Schizosaccharomyces pombe: one gene and its partners. Changing the gene in region 1 together with any one later gene gives a genetic interaction. Each region holds a gene or a part of one and is shown on either strand. Other genes may lie near its edges. The genes, in order: rng2, gef2, pxl1 and fim1.

Evidence for each region.
Region 2: of rng2 (region 1) and gef2, changing one enhances a phenotype caused by changing the other (phenotypic enhancement), as found in Schizosaccharomyces pombe (one study listed by BioGRID).
Region 3: mutations in rng2 (region 1) and pxl1 are lethal when combined (synthetic lethality), as found in Schizosaccharomyces pombe (2 studies listed by BioGRID, with this or other methods).
Region 4: mutations in rng2 (region 1) and fim1 impair growth when combined (synthetic growth defect), as found in Schizosaccharomyces pombe (one study listed by BioGRID).

Annotation. Positions count from the first base shown.
Region 1 is NC_003424.3:2,643,506-2,650,966, reverse strand, and holds rng2 (IQ motif containing GTPase activating protein), read right to left. Parts: upstream 5,540-7,461; 5' UTR 5,451-5,539; coding exon 981-5,450; 3' UTR 540-980; downstream 1-539. Other genes in the region: U5 snRNP complex subunit Spp42, read right to left, coding at 1-229; hcs1 (3-hydroxy-3-methylglutaryl-CoA synthase), read right to left, coding at 5,824-7,107, 7,284-7,343. UniProt on the Schizosaccharomyces pombe protein: Component of the contractile F-actin ring; required for its construction following assembly of F-actin at the division site.
Region 2 is NC_003424.3:417,979-424,509, reverse strand, and holds gef2 (RhoGEF Gef2), read right to left. Parts: upstream 4,569-6,531; 5' UTR 4,045-4,568; coding exon 1,623-4,044; exon of another isoform or gene 1,585-1,622; coding exon 1,357-1,584; intron 1,312-1,356; coding exon 1,203-1,311; exon of another isoform or gene 1,154-1,202; coding exon 607-1,153; 3' UTR 519-606; downstream 1-518. Other genes in the region: pre9 (proteasome core particle subunit alpha 3), read left to right, coding at 1-33; Ctf18 RFC-like complex subunit Dcc1, read left to right, coding at 4,778-4,908, 5,008-5,242, 5,290-5,751, 5,790-6,035; bun107 (WD repeat-containing protein), read right to left, coding at 6,139-6,531. UniProt on the Schizosaccharomyces pombe protein: Has a role in the control of cell polarity and cytokinesis. Involved in bipolar growth and septum formation.
Region 3 is NC_003423.3:2,710,235-2,714,731, forward strand, and holds pxl1 (paxillin-like protein Pxl1), read left to right. Parts: upstream 1-1,933; 5' UTR 1,934-2,277; coding exon 2,278-2,306; intron 2,307-2,362; coding exon 2,363-3,650; 3' UTR 3,651-3,973; downstream 3,974-4,497. Other genes in the region: asn2 (asparagine synthase), read right to left, coding at 1-1,260; erb1 (WD repeat/BOP1NT protein), read right to left, coding at 4,190-4,497.
Region 4 is NC_003423.3:3,105,727-3,110,575, forward strand, and holds fim1 (fimbrin), read right to left. Parts: upstream 3,083-4,849; 5' UTR 3,016-3,082; coding exon 2,782-3,015; intron 2,706-2,781; coding exon 1,217-2,705; intron 1,163-1,216; coding exon 1,041-1,162; 3' UTR 516-1,040; downstream 1-515. Other genes in the region: SPOM_SPBC1778.07 (carnosine N-methyltransferase), read left to right, coding at 4,235-4,736. UniProt on the Schizosaccharomyces pombe protein: Binds to actin, and functionally associates with actin structures involved in the development and maintenance of cell polarity. Plays a role in cytokinesis. Plays important roles in mating and in spore formation.

The DNA of each region.
Region 1 (7,461 bases):
TTTGAACATAACCCTGCTTCCTTTTGACACCAAACTTTGATTTTTGAGAAGCGCGCCATTTGCGTGCTCTTTCGTTAAGTTGCTTTTCAAGATTTCCAGACTGTGCTGGAGTCTTGTTTTTTCTTTTCTTCACATAACCTGGAGGTGGAGGAGGTGGAGGCTGTGAAGGAGGCTCAAATCCAGGCGGAGGAGGCGGTGGAGGAGGATTCCCCGGTGGTAACGACGCCATTTAGGTAATGGTATTTGTCAGCTGAATTGTGGTAGTGAATATTACTTTGTATGGTGGTGACCCTCGCCATTATTTGTGCGTAATATTCTTTTGTGCGTTTTATTTCATATTAGGTCTATGTAGTCTTCTGCTCATAATACGTGTTTAATGTATATTTTTTTACACGCTATACGGGATTTGAAAATTCAAATTTTCTTCGTTAAAATGCAACACGCTTAAGAAGTTTGTCAACCAAACACCTACCCATATCCAAAGGTTAATTTGAACATAATCATGCTCAATCGAATCGCCTTATAAGAATTAGTAAAGATGTATGTATTGACATAAATTACATTTTGTTATAAAAAAGTGTTATTTGTAATTATAAACCTTTAACTAATTCAGAAAGTATAAATTACCAAGTACAACTAGTATGCATAAACCAAAAATTCCTATTCCTTGATTTAGTGTTTCAGGTTCAACGGCTTTAGTTGAAAAAAAAAATTTGAAAAATAACACCGAGTTAAATAAGATTTGTACAGTATAAGTAAACACAAGTAGTGATAAAAAAACCCCCCACACTAAGTGAATGAAATGGGAAAACTGTGCAAATTATCAGAATTAAAGGGGAGAAAATATCACATAGTATACATATTTCGCCAAAAGAATATGGACAAGTATTAATGTGCAAAGATATTTGACGGTTTTAAGTTAATTCGAATTAAATCATTGGGTAGTTAAAGAGACGGAAAAATGAACAAAGTGAAACGTCTCATGAATAAAATTTGGAGAAAATCAAATGTAAGAACATATTGGTGTTTAATTTGAGACGGCCATCCAAAACATCCAAAGTTAAAACCTTGTTATATTGAGCAGACAACAAGTCGTCCAAATGCAATTCACACCTTGGGCTCGAAACTTTAACTGTCGGGCTTGTTGCTTCCAGAATAAATTTGCCAACTTCATCGGCTGATATAGTAATATACAATTTTTCTTTCTGCGGCATATGAGATATTGATACCAAAACTCCTCGGTCATAGAGTTTAAGAGCTGGGTACTTGAACGACCCAAAGCGAGGAACGCGTCCAGATTTTCGGAGATCTCGCATGTGAAAATACTGTTTAGAAAAAGGAATAAGCTTCTTCTTACCCTTCTTTGATTGTAATGTTTCCATAGCTTGTTCAATGTATTCGTTATAACTTTTTAGCTGCGAATCAAGGAAAGCTCTTTTTTCTCGTAAGTTAAGCAAACTTTGATGTCCCGCATCAAGTTCACGCTGTCGTTGCATCCTTCTTCTCGACTTATTACGGATATCTAGAGCGATAGAATTTACCATATCTTGGTAATTATTCCGTCGGTTTGCAAATCCAAGCTTTTCCATTTCCACTATATTGCTTAGTGCAGTGTATTTCAGTTCTGCAAATGACATTGAAAAGATAGAATCATCAAACAAATCATAATTCCTTGCATTCTTTTCAGATTCTTCTGCCAATAAATTTTGCCATGCTGCTTCGTCTGAATCTGTAACCGGTTTGACAAGTATTTCCAAAAGATTAAGGCCATTTTGAATTCGAATAATAAATAATATATATCTCTTTGTCTGAACAATAAGAGTCCGTTCCTGAGCAACGGGATTTTCTATAGTGCAAAATTTGGGATTCAATTCTAGTTTGACGTCAGTTTCATCTTGCACAAAGTCATTGTCTTGCTCTGAAACAGGACCTAAGCTATTGACAACAGCGCGTAATGGATCGTTCACATCAGGAGGAGCAATACTATCTATGACATATGCAATAGATGAATAAATGCCTAAAATATCGTCTCGCTTCATGTATATTACTGGCCGCTTGGTATTAACAAGGTCTTCAAAAGCATCGAACTCAAAGTACACCTCTGGATCAACCACATCGACAAGCCTTTCTAGCATCAACATGGTATCCTGCTTGGACACCTCAATAAACTCGGAGAGTGGTCTAAAAAAACCAAGTTGCTTAGAGTCACAGGACTCGATTGAAAAGATCTCAGACAAAATGCTTGACAATGTGTAAAGGTTTTTTCGTTGAAGAGCTGTAATAGAGCCATCAACCAACTTGAAGTTATCGGGTGACACAAGTACAGGAGCGACATAAGCCCAATAAACAAATTTCCCTATTACGCCAAAAATTTCTTCTTTATGCGCAGCGGGGAAATATCGTTGTAAGCTATTTTTCAATTGTGCTGCAGTATAGCATAAAGCATAAGGAATATTTTCAATATTCTTAGAAAGTGCTACTAGGAATGATTGACACAGTTTTCGAAGTTCACGAAGTCTGCTAACGTATAGATTTCTTGTCGGTGGGTGTTGCATTGCTAACGACAAAGTGAGTTTTGGACTATCAGTTTGACTGGCAACTTCAGGATTGAAACTTTTAAATAGAGTCAACGGATTGATTTCAAAATCCAAATGATTGTCGGCTACTAAAACCTTGTGAATGCGGCCGAGAATAGTTTTCCAAAGCTTCACTTCACGAACGTCCCCACGATATCCAGTGAACAGTAATTTCCAGACACAGTCATCAGAAAGTAGATCCTGAGATGAATTAACTAAAGCTGCTTCTAGCTTAATGACTTGGGAAATGAATCTCAAAAGTAGTACTTCTTCTCGTCGGTTAGAGCCATGGCCGAAAATTTGCAAAACTAAATAAACAGCATGACGGATCTTTACAGAGGAAGTGCCCTCAGTTTTTAGCGCTTGAAAATAATTTGCTAAGTACATTTCGTTGGTTTGTAACACATAGAAAAAACACTGATAAAGTTCCAAAAATTTTCTGCTTGAATTGTTGAGTGACTTCATAGACAGAGTATTAATTTTTAAATATTCAGTGCTTTGCTTTCCAAATTTATACTTGTTGTGATGTTTTAAAACATCATCCAAACTGATTTTGTTTTTAACCAACAAAGCAATCTTCACGTCTAGTTCATTGATGTGAACTTCAATTTCTTCATTGTCTCGTACTTGTTGCACAATTTCTTTTCTCATTTTTTCAAGCAATACTTCTTCCTCAAAGTCGAAATTGGTGTCGTCTAATAAATGAACAAAATTTTTGACCGTCATAACAGGTGGATTTTTGGCCGTAGCAAGTTCTCTATAAGCCAACCCTTCTTGACGACCCCTAAAAATGGACTTCGCAACTATGGGATTCTCCATATTCTTATGAAAATTTTGAAGTTTTCTTGAAAATTTGTTTCGAGATAGATACCCACGAATTAAAGATTGTAACAATACAATTTCAGGAATAAAAGAATCTAACTGAACTTCAGTATAATTCACATCATCTCGTAAAAGAATTGCACGGACTGCAGATTGCATAAACACGATATCTGGTAATCGCTTTAACAAATAGTCGTTACAATAATCAATTTTGGTTCGAGTAATGAATCCCCGATAAAGAGATTGGGCTTTAATGACAGATAGGTGCGATTTTTGAAAAGAATCATAAATGCTTTCCAAGTTTTTTCTTAAAAGAAAAGCCCGAACAATTGCCTGTAGAGCAATGAAAGAGGATGTTGATGCTTTTAATTTCTCCAATTTCTCTTTAAATGCCCGACGAATCATAAATCCTCGAGATAAATTTTGTAGTTTAATAAAATTATCCAGTTCTCCCAGAAGTGATCCATTTAATCTGTTTATAGAATCCCTTATCAAGCGTCCTTTGCAAATAGAGTGAAAAGAAACGGGAAACGATTGTACGGAATCTAGAAAGTTAGACCATTCATTCCGAAACATATTTGCACGCAGTATACTTTGCATCCGGTTAAAGAGAGGGATATAGTTGTAAAGGTTGTCAAGCATATTAACTATTGCATGACGGGTAAGAAATCCTAAAGCTGAGGATTGAATTAACACAAATGATGGTGTAAATAAGTCTAGCCTCTCTATTAACGAGTGGTATTTACGACGATAGAAACCCCCACGAATAATGCTTTGTAACGTTTGGATTGACTTCGTTGCCTCCTCCTGTAAAACCACTTTACGGTATTGTGCACGTATCAGATATGCACGAGAGATGGATTGAATAGAAGTAACCCAGTTTACAAGTTCATCGTATGCTTTCTTTCGTATTCTGTATGTATTTCTAGATATATATCCACGAATTACGGCTTGCAGAAGTACGACAGAAGAACTTTGTTCCACGAGGGATTGTAACATATCCACCAAACGCAAGCGCACAAGTACGCCACGACCACAAGCTTGAATCGCGTTCACGATTTTCTCATCGACAGGGCTACGCTGACTAAGTCCAGAAGTGGTAGAAAATAGTGCCTCCCGTCTTCTTGTGGGTGCTGAAAATGTTGTGAGGAAAGATCGTTGCATATGTCCCTTTTGAGAAGGGGGTTGAAAAAAAGAGTCTTCGAATTCGATTGAATGACTAGGCAAAGTTTGTTTATATGGTTCATTAAATTGTTCTAACGAAGGTGTCGCTGATTTCGTCCTTCTGTGCATCTTAAGGATGTCTGAACGAGCGCTAGCATCTTTCTTCGAAAATTCTAAAGTAGGAGAAGTATAAGGAGACGAATATATAGATGCAGAATCTGATGAATTTAGGGTTTGGAAACGAGCATGCTTGGGAAATCGTGTAGGGGAAGGAGTGCGAGAAGAAACAGGACTAGCACGAAGCATAAAATCGGCACTTAAAGCTTTGAAGTTAGGAAGGATTACATTAGATTGTCGGAGTCTACGGACTATTATTGAAACGTCTTCATCAGTAAAAGATAGATTTTCATCACTCTTGATTAAAGGGGGTGCCAAGTCCTGCATAGAAAGGAAATAAGAAAGGGCATGAATACAATAGATAACTTTGGGTAAATTTTTCCCTTCGTAAATGTCAGTCAGTTCGAAATGAAAAATTTCGGGAAGCCCAATGCCATGGATAAAGTCAAGAAACTTATTAATGTTATCTGAATGGCGAAACTGGAGTTCATTAGAATAGAATATCTTGATTAGTTTATCGGGTTGAAATTTCTGAACCAAGAGAGCCAAGACAACTCCGTTTCGCAGCGACTGCTCAAATGTAGACGTTGGTCCTAGATCTGTGCCGAGGCATTCTTCTATCCATTTTTTTGCTTCATCAACCCTACACAAATAATCATATGCTTGAAGGGTTTCTCTTTGTTTGGCTGCTAAACGAGTGTTCGACCCTTTCGTGCCAACAGGTGCCCCAGCTTGAGATTGAAGTCTAGATAATCCCACATTTACGTCCATTGAGACTTCTGATGACTACCTACTCAGCATTCGATCTCAAACTAGATAAAGTAACTGCACACAATTTTTCGGCTATGTTAGTGGAGAGTAGCTGTTACTCAGACAAAGAAAATGTGGGTTATCAAGATGAGTGGGGGGTTTTTAGGTGTAAGTAGTTTAATTCAAGATACTGTCCGTTAGTGACGAATTTACTCTAATTATTTAGGTTATGCTATTACAAATGAAGGTTATTCATTTTAAGACTACAATACGTATGAGTTTTAAATAATTAACAAAAAAGTTGTCAAAATCACATATTCATGTATCAAAAAAAAGTCTACTAAAAGAGATTTTAACAGTATCTAGTTTGCATTCTAATCTTTTTTTCGGTGATTTAAGGCTTCACCGAATAGCTACGGCGGAACATGTCATCAATACCAGTAAGGTAGTAAGTACCTGAACGAAGACGTTCGATGCTTCCTTTGGGAGTAAAATTCTTTTTCAAGTGTGCTTGATGGCGTAGCTCAATAGCCTCTTCATACTGCGTAGGGGTTAAACAATGACGATTATCCAAATCGTTAACCAAGTTAGTTTTCTTGGCAATTTCAGAGACGTCGCCTTTGACAACGAATGAAAAAAACGAGGCAGCCAAACCAGAACCATAAGAGTAAGCACCGACGCGTTTTCCTTTAAGTTCATCAGCGGGGACACGGCTAAGTAATGCAGTTAAACAAGAGAAAATACTGGCAGTGTACATATTACCACAGTTGGTAGGGGCATAGACACTAGGGGAAACTCGTTTGTTAAAACGCTCTTTAGTTATGGCCATAAGACCTTTTTCTAAAGCCTTGTCGGTAAGGGATTTCTTAGCATCCAGGGTGCTAAGAAGTTCACGGACACCTTCCAACTCGGGATTAGATGGTTCAGCAGCGCTATCGGTGTACAATAAACGCGCATATGCTTTTTGGACTTGTTTGCAAGTAGGAGCGTGGAAAATGCAATAATCAAAACGATCCAATCCAAGTCCTTGACTTTTTCCATTCTTAGCAACATCACGAACATTGTAATTAGCATATGCTCCATCAAGAGCTTTAACATAACATTCAAGAGAAAAATGGCCATCAACGTAAGGGTATTCACTCGTCAAATCGGGTTTGTAAAAATCGTAAGCATGTTGCATGTAAGTACCACGTAGACCAGGTTCAAAAACAATAGGGGCATTAGGACCAACCAAAAGGGCGACACAACCAGCACCACCGGTAGGACGAGCATTGCCCTTGGCATAGAGAGCAATATCACCAGCGACAACTATACCATCACGGCCATCCCAAGCAGAAGACTCAATCCAATCGATTGTGTTAAAAAGAGCGTTCACGCCACCATAACAGGCATTAACACAATCAATACCTTCGACATTGTGGTTATCCCCAAAAAGTTGCATTAAAACACTTTTGACAGACTTAGATTTATCGATGATAGTCTCAGTTCCAACTTCCAAACGACCAATCTTGCTTATATCAATTTGGTATCTCTTGATAAGTTGAGAAAGAGCGGTAAGACCAAAGGAATAAATGTCTTCACGATCGTCGACAAAAGCCATCTTAGTCAAGCCGAGGCCAATAGTATACTTTCCAGTAGAGACTCCATCATGCGCTTCGAGGGCAGCTTGTTCAACATACTATAGGGTAAAAACGATTAATATCAGGTTCTGAAGGAATTTAATGAGAAAGTATTTCTATTACTTTCCTCTGAAGCTTGCGTAAATTTGTACTATTGAAAAAAGATGTAGGTAATGCATGCAAATAATTTGGAGGAGAAGTTTTGAAATAAAGTAGCGACTCATTTATAACATACCTGATTGGGAGTGTACAACACGAGGCCCTTAATACCAATATCTTTTCTATCAAAGGACATTTTCTTGAGTTTCTACAAAGTGTGAGGGTTTTGAAAAAAGATTGCACTAACCTATTTGTGAGGCGACTAAGCGGAAAATTATCGAAGTATCTTGGTTATGGTTAAATGAAACAGATAG
Region 2 (6,531 bases), 2.2 Mb from region 1:
AATAAGTACCAAGAGACCCAGCGGCAATCTTAATATTGCCTTACTCAATTCATTGGGAAAACACTTTAAGTGTATAGCTGTTTTTTATAGCTTTCGTCGTTACCCTTTAATCTCCTTGTAATTAGCTCATGGTTTTTGTAAACAATTTGAAGCAAACTAAGTTCCATCATGAGCCTTATTCCGTCTCAATATAGGCTTGCTTTCTTTTTATCTACGCTAAATCATTATCTTATGAATTCTTATGCCGTTTTAAAAAAGGCTTTTTTCAAGTTTCTTTTATACTTAGACCTTTCTTTCTCATTCCCTTCATAACGTCAATTTCTACTTGAGTACACCATTCCGGCATATTTAAAATTATAGTATTTCCAATGGAATGTCAATGACTCTCATATGTTCTAAACTATATGCTTAGTTTTCATAACTGAAGATTTTAAACGGTGTAGCATATTCCAATTCTATACTATTTATAAAAATAAGAGAAAACTTTTTGATGAGTATTATTAACTTTCACTTACATATTGAAGGATAAAAAAAATAACTATTGATATCTAAAAAAGGAATAGTAAAACAAATAATCTAATAATCGATGTAGTATAGACTAGTTGGCTATATAAATATGTTGGTTTGACAACCTTCCTTAGCGTTTAGCTTGGATTCATACTCTTCAAGAGTCCACTTTGCGGTATCTAGTTCACATTGTTTTCTAATTAAACTGGCTTGAACTGATTGCTTTATAAGCTTAAGATCATGGTTGAAGCGATCATACAACAGAGGGATAGACTTTTTAGAATCTTCATTTAATCGAGTCATTTGAGCCAACCTTGCAAGAGTCAGATGATATTTGCGTCGTAAATCCTCGTATGCCTCTCGTTCTATTTGACCAGGTAAAATTTCCTTAGGGTGTCTTTCCGGCATTTCTTTCATGGCAATTGCTTGGAATTTCGATTCATCTAACTGTTTATCATTATTGGAATTCGCAGGGGAAACCGGAGTCGGCAATTCCTCTACTGTTCCAAAAATGCGATCACTGTGGTATGCAAGGTAATAAACAAGTTCTACAGCATTACTTCCAAACATGGAAGGAGCCAAGGCAATTGCTAGTTGTTTCGTAACAAAATCACATTGATCTTTAAGAGGAAGTCTCAAAAGCAAACTACGACGTTAGATAATAAAACCTCTGAAAAACAAGCTTGGTGACTTACTCGGAAGCAATAGAAAAAATGTTCTCAAGGATCTTTAGGCTACTCTCGGGTAAGTCTTGTAAGATTTTTTTCAAATGATAAACTGCATCAGTTGAATTGAAAGATAGATCTTCAATGTTAGTTAAAAAAAATCAAATTTGATAGCGATACATACTTAAATTTTCAACAGTATTTAACTGTTGTATGAATGAAGAAGAAAGCAAAACTCCAAATTTTCGATTGATAAAGGAGCTCAAATATTTTTGAAAGGTCGCATAAATAATATTTGGTGGGTAATGAGAGAGTAATTCTTCATTAAAAGTTTCCTTCAAAATATTATCGTACAGCTCATCCCCCTCAATCTTCTCCTTTTCAGACAGTGGATATAGTAAATTCTTTAAATCTGCTCAGTTAACGTTATGATCCAAATTGCAATATTACCTGTATGATATTTAAATCCGCCTTTGAAAGCTTCAAGATGTTCGACAGTTTTCTCAGCAGAAGCCTTCGAAGTATTATGAGTATTAAACTTCAATGATTTTTGTGAAATATTATTATGGTCCAAATTGTACATTTGCGAAGGAAGTGTAGCACAAGATTTTGATAAACCGCCTTGATTATAAAACCTGTTCAATGATAAACTGATTTTAGAAGGGCTTCCGGGCCTTCCTCCAAATGATAACCTACTTTTTCGTGGGCTGGAATTAGCAGAAAGCAAATGCTGTATAAGGTTTGAGTATAGATCCAAGCTTGAGAAATTTCTATTTGAAAAAGGGCATAGGAGAAGCCTTTTTATATTAATAAGATAATTAAGACAAGCCTCCCTAAGGTCTTCCTTAGCTATAACAGCTTCAGTAGGCAAACTGACACCTAACCAGGAATCGAAACTTAAATGAAAATCTTCGTCTTGTTGAAAAAAAGTAATGACAATATTACCGTCTTGCAAAAATTTATGCTTATCAACGTTGGCATCATTGGTGCATATGCATACTATGTCTGAGCGTTTTGATTCTTTCTCATACTCAAATCGTGAATAGTTATTAAAAAAAACCACAAAGTCATTGAGTTTTGAAAAACTAAGGCAGGAAGGCTGGCTTTTGTTCATTGAAAGTGCTTTTTGAAAAGACTGATAAAACCTATCCATAGTTCTTACATTTTCAAAATCGCAACGAAACTTCAAAATAGGATACTCATTAAAAAATGAAGGAGAAGATGCATACTTGGAAATTAAAAAAATAGTATTCTCCTCAACCATACTTCTTGTCAACTCAACCGCTTCATTCATATTTGAACCGATATATTGAGCACGCTTTTCTTTGGAATAAGAATTGCGAGGATTTTGCTTACGAAGATCCAATATAGTTGAGGCAATACTTGATTTGGAGCGTCTTTGAACAAGACAAATTCGATCATTGAATAAAATTAGAGTATAAGGTATTAAATGCAGTTGCCCGTTTTTTAGAAACTCCCTAGTCACGTCAATACAATCTATGAAATTTCGAGAGTTAGATATCATGTTTGGTGCTAAGTCAGGAATTATATGTTGTAAGCCAGCAAAAATCCTTGATCGTTCTTCGGCATCAACTGTAGGCATTTCTGCAATATTTTTTATAATCTCAACTGAGCGCACGTATGTATGTTGACATTCTCCTTCTTGTGTCAATAATATAATCTGATCTAAAAATAGTGAATATCGTGGAATCCTTTGAACTGGTTCCATAATAAGCTGACTCAAACCCACATTCATGTTTGCGTTAAGCTTTACCTGGTCATGGAATTCAACAAATTTGGGTATTTTTGAAGCCATCTTTAAAACATTACCAAAATCATTACTTTGCTCAAGGTAACGAGGATAATGTTGTGAAAAAGCGAAAAAATGAGATTCAAAACAACAAGCTAATCGAAGATCAATTTCTTCAAACTTTTTTTCGTCTATATCTTCAAAATTTAAATCACTCATGATTGCCTCAAACTCGTCAAGAAAAGCAGAATTGAGCTGAATTAATTTGTTAAGACAAGGCGGAAATAGGGTGTTTAATTCATAAAGTCCCAGCAATTTTTTCGAAGACTTGGCCAAATCCCGTAAAGGGAGTGCATAATCATTAACTAAATGGCGTAGTCTCTCAACATATGTGCTCTCTGTTTCCATCATCTCAATGAGTAAACTCTTTTTTTTTTGAATTGCAGGTATGGTTCCGGCATCTTTACTAGACGCAAAACTCGGACTCGGACTTGAAGTCTTTTTTCGTGAATCCTCAAACATTTCCCTACTTCCTATAACGGTTTTCCAATAAGAGTTAGAAGGGTCTTCCCACCAAGAGTTATCAACCTTTATGTCAAAAATAGCATCTACCACGAATTCGCGTACACCATTCGGCTCGCCAAGAGAATAAAGCTCACGAGTGAGAGAAGATGACTGGAAAACGTTTATTGTATCAAAAATATAGGAAGCATACTCAGGTTCAATGACTGACTCTCGCCAATTTTCGCCTGTATGTAAACATACAGATTCCACGCAAAGAAACTCATATACGCATGCAGCAGCTTCCTTATGCATACTAGCAATTTGCCATTCTAGGTCCAAAGTTTGCGCAAAAGCATCCAACTTCGAAGAGAAAGGGTAACATATAGAAAACGTGTCAGGTCCCAATTTCGATAAAGCATAAGCTGCTAAAATATGACCATCAACTTTGGCAAATGAAATCAATACCAAACCCATATTTGGATGATTGAAGGTACAAAATACATGATCTTGCTCAAACAAAGGATTCATTTGTAACAGATCCCTAAAAACCCATAGACCTCCAAATTGAATGCTAATTGCTAACAGTTCAGCACGCGAACCCATCGTGCCGACGTCCATGGTAAAAATAAATGAAAAAAGTAAGATAAAGGTCAATCGCGTAGACAAAAATATGAAACTTAACTTCGCCAAATATACGTAAACAAGTAAGCTTTTTTTCAACAACCGCAGTTAAATGTGATGGCTTGATAACCTGTAAAACTTGTAGAAAGAAAAGAAATAGAGGTAGCAAAATCCCTTAAACAGTAAAACAAATAGTATATTGACCAGTCAAGCAAAGCTGAAGAAAAGTTTTAAGCAAAGAAGCAATGGTTCCCAAGAAAAAGAATTATTAAATAAATTAAACCTTCAAGACTTTTTACAAAAGATCGATAGAACGGAACTTGATAGAAATTGTTTTTATGCAACTCAAAAATTATTAATGATTATAAGAAATCTCAATTCAATGTTTATTAGTGAAAGTACTTCCAGTTATACAGCTACAAAAGAAAAAGGAATAGACCCAATTCAGGGACTATATCCTAATCTCACTTGAAGCTTCCGAACCTGCTTCTCCGATGTGGTTGTTTGAATTAGGTAGTTTTACTCCATTTCTCCATTCACCGATAGGACATATGGTAATTTTCTGCAGCGAAAATCCGCTACAGCTGCTAGTCTTTTACCATATTATTAATTTAATCTTTTAGTGATCATTTTCTTGTTTTCTAACAATAAAGTAAAATAGCAACCCAAAGTCAAATCTGTCATTTATTGAGATCGGGAATTACTTAATAGACAAAAAAAGAGACATTAAATGGAAGCGAATGAAGAAAGATGCATTTTATTAAAATACCCTCATCCAAGCTCTGATATTTCTTCTGAATATTTATTGTTGGAACTAGACGACGATTTATTAAAGACTCTGGAAGAAAATCCTGAAGAAGAGTATGTGTTTCCTTGTGTATAAATAACCTGAAGTTGAATCATTACTTTTTTATTTTTTATATCGCTATTTGACAACTTATGATCTAACATCGATAATAGGATTGTCTTTAAATCAGATTTTGATAAAAAGGCTTCAGTACTCTGTACTTCAGATAAAACGTATGCTGTGCGTCAAGTGGTTCAATCAAACTCGTATTTGCTTTTTGATGAGCTCAGTCCTACCGACTGGGTATTAAATGACACATGTTATTCATTTTTAGAAGTTGAACGGATTTATGGGTTTATTTTTTCAGACGACAAAATTTCTTATTGGGACGAAGATTCTGTGGAATTGGTATGCATTTTATTGAATAGTTAGCCTTTCACTAACAGTCTCAACAGAAGCCCATTTCACTTACAAAAGATCAATTTATACGATCTGTTCCTGCTAGCAGAAATGAAGTCGATTCATTCTTGCAGAAAAACTTTTTCATGGTAAAGAATGAATTCTTGTACCGATTATCACCTTCTTACATATGTTCAATTATTGACTGGATATTTGTTATAGCCCAACAGTTACACATAGACTTTGCAAGTTTTGAGTTTAAGATTTTAAAAAAGCCAGCTATGGATGACGAATTTGATTGGGATTCAGTAATTTGTGTTCTTGAAAGTATCTCTTCACCCATTAAGGACAATGTCTTACCTAAAAAATTCAATATCGATTTAGAGTTGACGACTTTTTGGTATGGGCGATTTTTGTTAGAAGGCATCAACAGTATAAGCTCCGATGAGTTCATTCAGTTATGGGATAATCGTCTTCCGTATCCTTGTAAAGGACTTCCTTCTTTGAATTTATTAAAGGTAGGGCATTTTAGTCAGCTAATGCTAAAACTCTTTAGGGTTATTATTTTCACGATACCCCAAATACGATTCAGTATTTATCAGGAGATCAGTTACCGAGAGAACCAAGTAGGCGGTTTCAATCTTTGTTTCAACTTAAGTCGAAATGGTTATATGAAGAACTTTGGAGTTTCGTTAAAGATCTTGCCTTGTCGAAATCAAGAGTTGAAGCTCTTATATTGAAATATGGGCGAAAACAAACCAGTAGGGACGGTGTTTACATTAATTCTAGAGGGACATGGTAAAACCTTATTTGGCCGGTACTATACAGGTTGAAAACTTGATTTTATTGTACATTATTTTCGACAGGATTATGAAATCAATTAAAATTTTAATCAAACTTAAGTTTTAAATATTAAGACTCTGGGTTTTATCAACAATTTCTGAAACAGATCTAGGAGCAACATCATAATGAAAGACAACGTCGTCTCCAGATCGCCAAATTCGAGCCTTAACAGTTGCCAATGTCATTTTGGGGGTAACGACGACATCTTTGCATCTAAATTGAAGGGATGATACATCCTTTCTTTGTTGGCTAAGCTTGCTATAGCTATAATCCATAATTTTCTGAGCACGAAGCATAGCACTAGCACTTAAACGAGTGTTTTCATTTACAATAAGCGGTAAACCACTTCCAGGAAAAGGCTGAAGAGTAAAATTAACAGTAGGGGCAGTTTTAGAAGGAAATTCGTTTAATAACAGTAATCTTCCAAGCCAAAAGGGCATAATATTTTCAAGTAA
Region 3 (4,497 bases), on another chromosome or scaffold:
GAGCTGCTCATCAGCCCCCAGGCCACTGATGAGGACTTTAGCTTTTATAGTATAGGAAGGTAATTGATGTTTCAGTTTGATATCATCCACGTTTTGTAAAAGTACACCACGCCCTTGTGAAGCAAAATAAAAAGCTAATCCAATAGAAAGATCCATAACTGAATCGTTCGGATAGATAAGTGTTTTGACTATTTCCTGTGCTTCACATACTTCTGTATAAGGAACGTTTATAGCAACAAAATTCCATTTTCGAGCAGGGCAAACTGAAATAAGCTCCTGCCAGCCTTGTAATCCAGTTTGTCTATCAGGACATACGTCGTATGCATCAAAATTGTCAGGAAGAAGTCCCGTCTCTCTGTCACGGTATGTCTCTGTAAATCTTGGGTTTTCAAAAGCCACATTAATTAAATCGATGGACTCGTTATTGGGAACTATGTCGTGCATTAGCCGTGCTAATACACCGCAATCCACTCCCCCAGAGTAAAGAACGCAAACTCGGCTATAATGACTACAGTCAAGGTTTGAAGAGCACAGTTTGGGGATTGTTAAAACTCTATCTTGAAGCGCTTTGATAAGATATGTATGCAATGTGTCCACAGTGTCTGAAGAGATTGAGCCCATGAGAAAGGACTCATCCACAGGAGGAAGAGGGTTTGTTTTTTCCAGTTGCATTAATGATTTAGAGAAGTTAATTTTTGGGATCAAGTCCACCTGCACACTATGAAACCCAGGCTCAACTTCTCGGAAATCACTAGAATTTCCTACACTTGAGAGAACGAAATTACTATCTCGTAAACTATACAAAAGGGATCTTCTTCCTAAGCGATCTCTTCCCCACCACAATGTGTTTGTACGAACTTGGTAGTAAACAAAAGCAAAAGGTCCTTGAATACTTCCCAAAATTTTTTCAATGTCGCCCGGGTTATTGTTTAAAAGTTCAAAAAGTTTTGCACCGTCGTTTTCATTACGATTGAGCGTAAATTTGTGATGATCGCTATGGTTTATTTGCCAAATTTCTCCATTCCAACACAAAACGTTTCCAAAACTGTCAACATGAGGTTGAGGCGTTAAATGATCAGAAGGGCCACGTAAATGCAAAACGCTTGACTCAAAGTGCAAATTCCAAGGTCCGCTATTCAATTTATGCTTACCAAAAAAATCAGGTCCTCTAGCCCGAATCCTTTTTCGTAAAGCTGAAAAAGATGGACTTTCAAGAAGATTATCTCTGTCTTCCGCTAAGGCGAAAAGAATTCCGCACATAAACTATTCTCAAACACTTTTGCTTCTAACAAATCTACAGTCAAAAAAGTGTTTTTTCCTTTAACGACGTTTGTGTGGTACAGTGTGATCGTAATTTTATATACAATATCATTTTGCGACACATTGCAACGCTTATAAGTAACTACACACTGAACAGACTCACGGGTCTACATATTTTTTCTTATACAATTATACTTACAACTGGTAAAGAATTTTCTTAGGTCAATCTGTAGCTTGAAAGCCAAAATTAGGTTTCTATTTATGAAACAATAAGCGAAATGCTGTATGCCTGACAAAGCATAATGGGGTAGTTAATGACATTTAAAGAGCTGTAACAATACAGTAAGCATTAATAACGCGCTCCACAATAATCTACTGCCAAAGTATAAAAAAAATAAATTATAAAAAGATATTGTACCATATTATGAAATCGCAACATATAAAATTGTCCAACAAATAACATTGATTTCGTTTGGAACATTTTCTGCATAGGAATGGCTTAATTCACTTTAATTACTAATATATTCGCATTTTTTTACTTTCTGCTGGTATACAAACATTGAATACGTACTCTCTAAGTATTCGTTAAAGGTACAATGTTACCTATTATGAGGCTGGTTTCTATAACAACGAATGTTTGTTTATATTTTGGAATATACACTTAAACAAAGCCAACACTTATTAGCTAAAACACTTTGGATAAAGCAAATATTACTGCTTTCTAAATAATAACTACTTGCTTACAATTGCATTTTTTTAATACAGCTAGTTTTTTTGGGGGACTCCGCTCTTTGAGATATATATCCTTACGTTGGCAACAATTTTCTATAAGTTAATCCCAGCTTGATTTTTGTTTTTCCTTCCTTATCCTTCTCTTCCTATTTTTTATCTTGTTTTTAAGTGTTGCGGCTAGATTTATACCCTGCGAGCTTGGCTATCCTGATTTCTTAAGGTTGTCAACGATCCTGAATTCTTTCCGTTGATTAGTGTCCTGATAGTTGAGAAGCATATCAGCAAATGCATTCACCAATTCCAGAATTACCAAGGTAATCTATTGTCTTATTGTTATTACCCAATTAGGTATCTAACTTCGTTTTTGTAGATTTGAACGTCGATTGACTGGTCCTCGTGCTGCTCCTTCTTCGCCGGTCTCTACTAATGGCTCCCCGCTAAACAATTTAGTTCGTTCTCGGTTATCTGATGGAGCACTTAACTTTACTGGAGGTCGAATAGCTACACCATTACCGCAACCAAGTTTGAAGACTCCTGAATCTCCTTTGTCCAAGAGGAATCCAACAATAAAACAAAATCGTGTACGTTTTGATCTGCCTGATGACGAGCTCTCTCGTTCTAATGTTTCGTCGCCGGAAAAAACACTACTAACCTCTGCTTCTACTTCTACTTTCGATAGCTTAAAAAAGGAGCTTTTACCTGAATTGCCATCTCTTGCATACAGTGACGACGATGAGTTTCCTAGTTCGCCGGAGGAATTGAATTCACATGTTAATTATCCAGACGTACGAAATGTTTACGATTGTCATACCGGTTTACAGCCGCTTGTTGATCATGATTGCATTGAAGACAGACAAAAAACCTTCGCATCCAAACAACTTCCTACTCTTCCTTTACAGAAATCCAGTAAACTTTCCAATCGTAGACCCGCTTTGCATTCTTTTCATTCTGCTCCTGCTAATAGCTTATATCCTTTGCCCACCCCCACTTCACAATTGCCTAGCAACTTGTCCTCAAATAATTTATTTCAATCAGATTCACTTAAGCCTTCAATGGTATCTTCTCATACATCTACAAAACCAGTTCTTTATAGAGGCAATTCTGAAAAATCCTGTCATAGTTGCGGCGGTTCTTTACGCGCTGGCAGAATAATTAGTGCTTCAGGAAAGAAATTACACCCTCAATGCTTCAAATGCGATACTTGTTCCCAGAACTTAGAGCACGTTGGATTTTATTACCGCGAGGGAAAATTTTATTGTCATCTAGACTATCATGAACAGTTCAGTCCTCGCTGTAAGCACTGCAAAACCCCAATTGAAGACCAAGCGGTCCATATCAACAATGATTGGTTTCATGAAAATCATCATTTTTGCGCTGGTTGCTCTGAAGTTTTTAATGTAAATATACCCTGTATTTACCGTGACGACCTATACTGGTGTCAGACTTGTTATGATAATAAGTATGCTGTTAAGTGCAAGAAATGCCGTAAACCCATTTTGGGGATCAGTGTAAAAGGGTCTGATGGTGAATATCATAGCCAATGTTGGACCTGCGGAGCTTGTAATGCCCTACTTGGAGATGAGGGTTATTTTATGATAGAAAATACCCCTATTTGCCGTCCTTGCAAGGCGATATCAGTCAAGTTTAATTTGGATTAACTCAGACTTACTCATCACTTTCTTTTTCTTTTTTTTTTGTTATTTTTTCACTTCTTTCATCGATTTTAGCTTTATAAGGAAAGCTGTCTTGGAAATCTTGGAGATTTTAAATCATTTCATTTAATCCACAAAGTCCAGCATGTTTACTTGCATTTAAACTTGCTGTATTTTTATAATTAAGCAATTAATGATTAGGTAACTATAGATATATAAAAAGCACTATTGAATTTCAACGGTTACGATTTTTGATATCACGTAATACTTAAATACTTTAGATAACTTACCAAAAAATAAAAAATAAAAACATATTCAGTTTGCACAAATGCATTTTAAACTTTCGAAAACCCCTATATTCCTATTAAATATCCAAAATCAAGTACGAAAACAATCTTTTCGACTTGTTAGCAAAACTATAATACAGCATTGAAAAAGTATCTTTTGCAGTAAACACTACCAAACATTATTTTTAAAAGTAGAGTTTTTCTAAATTTTAAAGCAAGTGAAGAAAACAAAAATATTTAAGACGTTTCAAACCTTTTTCAAGTCCACATCCGAATTTCTCCACCAGCACCTGCACTGAATAACCAGGCTTCTTTTGGATGCCAGCATGTGGATAAAACACCGACATTATCAACCACTTTATGATTCCGCAAAATCTTAAGAGGAACAATCAAGGGATTAGCCAGAAGGTCACTGTAAACACGACCGTGGAACACTTGAACATCACCATCATCAGAGCCAGAGCAAAATAGTGGAAGGGAAGGATGATATGAGACATCGCGAAGAGCACGTGAATGATATCGAAGATTTTTATATGGTTTAGAAGAAAAGTCTAAGTCGAACCAAC
Region 4 (4,849 bases), on another chromosome or scaffold:
TTTAAACTTAGATAGCAGTAAAGGTAGCAATATGTATTTTAAAGTCCAATCGGCAATAACGATTTAACCTGTTTTGAATGGTGGTTATAAGTAGTTTGTAAGCTACGCAGTTTGGTATCTGATTTAAGGATACGTAGAACTGCGGTGAGTTTTCCTTGTGGTCTATTATATTACAATACACAGGTTGTATAAGTAGCAACTGAGTATAGGTATTGTATTAACTGGGTTATAATGTTACCTATCACTAATATAGCTCATAACTGAACTGAGGAACGAGGTTCAGTTGTAACGCTATTTATAATATTTCTAAATAGTTGTTATCAACGGGTATCTATGTATATAGAAGGATAGTTACCCGTGATTATCAATAAACGGATCTTAGCTAGTATTCCAACATATGACATATAGTGATACGCAACGTAGTGTAGCATAGCGTAGTGTAGTATTGCTGACATAGTTGGACAATATACGGTGGACGTAATGTGTATTATGTTAAGTAATCTGATAATAAATAATATTGTTATAAGATTCCGAATATTTTATTAAAGTAAAAAATGTTAATCGACATATATACATTTTTATTTCTTTTTATTGTGTTTGAAAATTAGGGCTTGGTAGACCAACGTTCTCCCAACGAATGCTTTATTTAGAAAGCTGATTTGCATATGCAGTCCGTACTATTTGGGCCTACAGAGACTTACCATTAGTTACATATACAAATGATCTTCCCTTCATTATGAAATTAAAAAGCTAACTATTTTCTACAGTTTGAGAAAAAATGACTACGTTTCGTCGTGCAGCTTCAGAATTCCTCAAACATTAATTAGGATAAGGATTACCCAATACTAAAGGGACAAAAACGGGTTAAGATGTATCATAAAACAACACAAAGTTATCTATAATATGACATACCACTAATAACATAGCGAGTCAAAAGCGACGTACTCACTTCCGAAGTTGTTCGCAATATAAGTAATTAAATTGGGAAAAACACATGTGTTAAATCGTTTCGTTAAAAGCTATAGTTAAGTCGAAACAAATTATACGGCCATTAAACTGCCAATAAAATGAAGGACCAACCGAGGACGAACGGCCACAATATCTTCTGGCAAAATAAAGATTACGGCACCCAACTTTCTGGCGATAGAAATAGCAAGACGAGCTAAACGATGTGTTAGTAATGAAAATTAAAAATATATCAAATATATATACATACCATTTTGAATAGCAAGTTCTTCAGTAGAACCATCGGTAACAAGATTGTAATCAACATATTCGCTCTTAATTCCATGAAGTACGTCTAAGACGAACACACCAGTGGAAATAGAAGGATCACGGAATGAACGAATTTGAGAACCTTTACCACCTTTAGCAGCCATAGAATTGGCCCACGCAACCATGTCACTATCTGAAAGAGTTTTACCTCCACGGCTAAGACTATGTAGAGTTTTGGTAATGTTCATACGCATCATTTGCCAAACCAATGCTAAGGTGAGTGTACGAGAACCGTCAGTAATATCAGCACCTTGTATTCCTACCAAAGAAAAACCTTGATTTTTTCCAAGGTCCACTGCATAATTACAGTTTTCAACAGCTTTGAAACGCATCATTTCATCTCCAGATGCAGGTGCCTTGTTCACCTTTTTCCAGTTAACGGTATTAGGTGTGATTTTATCGTAAGCTTGCAACAAAATCAAGCCATCTCGTAAATTATTGAAGAAGTCATGAATGGATGGAGTAACATCAAGAGAGTTCAACCACAAGGTAAAAACACGTGCCTCACGCTCACCTTCTGCATCAAATGGTTCAATCTCCGGCTTTTCCTCTTCATTTAAAGGCTCCAAACCTGGATGAGTATTAAAGAGATGAGCAACAAAGGCAAGGTTAAGCTTAGGGTTCCCTGCAACCATAGCGGTAGGTGTAAGATATTTGCGGCAATCCAATTTTTCAGCATTCTGTAAAACCTGTTCAGCACGCTGCAAAACATCTGTAGTTTGAAGAGGAGCACGTGAACAGAGTTCGGGAGCTAATTGGTTGAGCAGCACAGTATAATTCTCGCCATCTGAAACATCTTTTGAGAAGTTAGAGACAGTACGCGGCCAATTGGCAGCCTTTAAGTGATAATTGAACCAGCGGAGAAGAATTTTCTCAGGAGGGAGACGGAGAAATTGGTCAAGGGTTTCATCCTCTTCGAGAAGGCGGTAAAGCTCGGGATGTAAAGTAATATCAATCTTTCCAAGGAGACCGCGGCGAATGATTTGCCAAACAAGACCAAGAATCAAATGTTCACGACCTTCTAAAATATCGCCGGCACCAATGTTGGTAATGGAGATACCACCCATAGCTTTTGCGGAGTTAATAACAACATTGTTATTTTCAATACATTTGAAATTATCAAGAGGCTTGTTATTTCTCTGTTTATTGAGTACACGCTCATCAATGGTGTCGGGAACGCTGTCATTAATTAACTTTGAGAGGATTAAACCATCTTTGCATTGATCGAAAAACTCAAAGGTTTCAGTGTTGATGGGGACTCGGGAACCAACATCAGGGTCTCCAGCTAAGACGGAATTAATATGCTTGATAAATTCTCTTCGCTCTTCCTCATTAATGGTATGAGAAACACTTGAGGAAGATCCTTTGATAGTAATCCGACCCTTTTTTACTTCAGTACCTTCTACACCTTTTTTTAAAACATTGAAAATCTATATGCATTAGTAATCCAATTGATGAAGCGATATAGAGACACATATCGTGAAAATTACGGAAAACATTACTTACTCCTACAAAGTCTTCGGGTTCAACACGTCCAGACGAATCAACGTTAACTTCACGAATTGCTTCACGGACCTCATCGTAAGAACCCTTCTTTGAATCTTCAAAGGCTTTAATAGTGGTAGGTTGATCTAAATATCCCTTTCCATCCACATCAAGTTTGTTAAATTGGTCGGTTAAGGTTAGAATTTCCTCATTAGTGAGCTCCGGATACTTCTTTTGAAGTTTAAGAGCTAACATTTCTTTAAAAGTAAAATTTGACCAAAAAATGTATAGTAAACGAAACCACACGATGTGTGCTTTGGGTGGCTTGCAGTTGCTACGTGACAAGGATTAACGTCGTGTTGTTGATGCACATACATCATACTTACAGAAGCGTAGAGCAAAACTTTGATCCGCTCGCTAAATGAGTTAATACACGTTTGCTTAGCCAATCTGTTAAAAGTTAATTTGCAATTGTAAAAAGTAATTTACTACTTGACGATGTCTTGCGTTGTAGCTTTAGATTGAATATATAGCTGGGATATCAACTACATTGAATTTTAATTTTTTTTACAGAATAAAAAGCTAAACGTAAGTCCATATCAAATTAGCGATATTACCGAATTCAAATGCCATAAACATCACAAACTAGCAAGCTCTTTCAATTGAAGTCAACTGATGCATCGACTTGAAAATTACTTAGTACTATATGTCAAGAAGCCAAAATTTCTACTTACTATGATAGTAGATCCTTTGTAAAACGTTGCAGAAAGTTTTTCCGGCCGTGAAAATTCGTGTTTTTTTTCTTTTGTTCAAGGGTTTAGGTCACTGAAGCCAACAATTTTTGATACAATATAAGAAAAAGAAGTAATTCCCGCTTTTAACTGCGCAATAGGATAAAAGATTAGCCAGATGTCACAGGGTTAAACTTTTAACCTGACTACCTTTTCACGTGTATTTCCAGTCTCGTTTATAAGCTGCAATATAAATATTGTATGATATTACTGCGTGCACCAAGATTCTCTTATATTATTTTCTTATAATCTACAAAACTCACAATACTACTATAACGATGCTTCAGAAGATTAGCTGTTCCGGTATTGTTGAAGCATGGTGAATTTCCTTTGCGGCTGCTGTTGTAAAATATTGTCTGACAACTATCCAAATAAAACCTATGGGATTTTTGCAAAAGGCAAACACTATTTTCATAGAGGCACCGCGTTGCAGGGATTTTCAGCAGAGATGATTCAATATTGCAATCAAACACAGTAGATATAAACATAACTTGAAAAGCTAATGAAATACATAAAACATAATTATATTAACCATAATATTCTTAACTTATTGGTTTCTTCAACACTTCCAACTTCAATGAAGCAACAAGTTAGAGGTTTAACTTCTCCACAACGCCAAAATTGCGACTTAGATGATAAAAATATTAAAGTCTAGATAGAGCTCAGAAACATCAAAAAAAACTATGGAATATGATGAGGAAGAAGTAAAAGTTTTGAAAGAAGTTTTAAGCGCGTTCTTTTTGTACAGGCAATATGCTCATACAATAACACAACAGAAGAGAAAATCGATGAGCAGGTTGTCTTTTGAACACAAGGACTTACTCTTACAGGACTCTGACAACAATTTTTTAAAGCATCTTTCAAGGATTGATCAATGTATCGAGCAGAACAGCGTGCTTGCTGAAGCAATCGCTAACGCAGCCATTCCTGTGTTCTGCAGTGATTTCGATCAAAATGAGTTATTTCATGTCAATGTTGATATGATGCAAAAAGTTTCAAGCACTCTCAAGCAAATTGCGAGAGATTGGTCGACCGAATGTGTTGAGGAACGCCGTACTACATATGCTCCTTTCATCGAGGAACTAAATTCACTTTTCCCATCTGATTCTATAGACAGATCTAAAATTCGTGTACTTGTTCCAGGTTCCGGCTTAGGAAGATTGGCCTTTGATATAGCTGTGGAAGGTAGGTACACTTGATACTATCAATCAAAAATAGCATGATTTATTATTTATCTGATTACATGTTTTCTAACTTCTTTCTAAATTTGGATTTTTGGACATAGCTTCTAACATTTA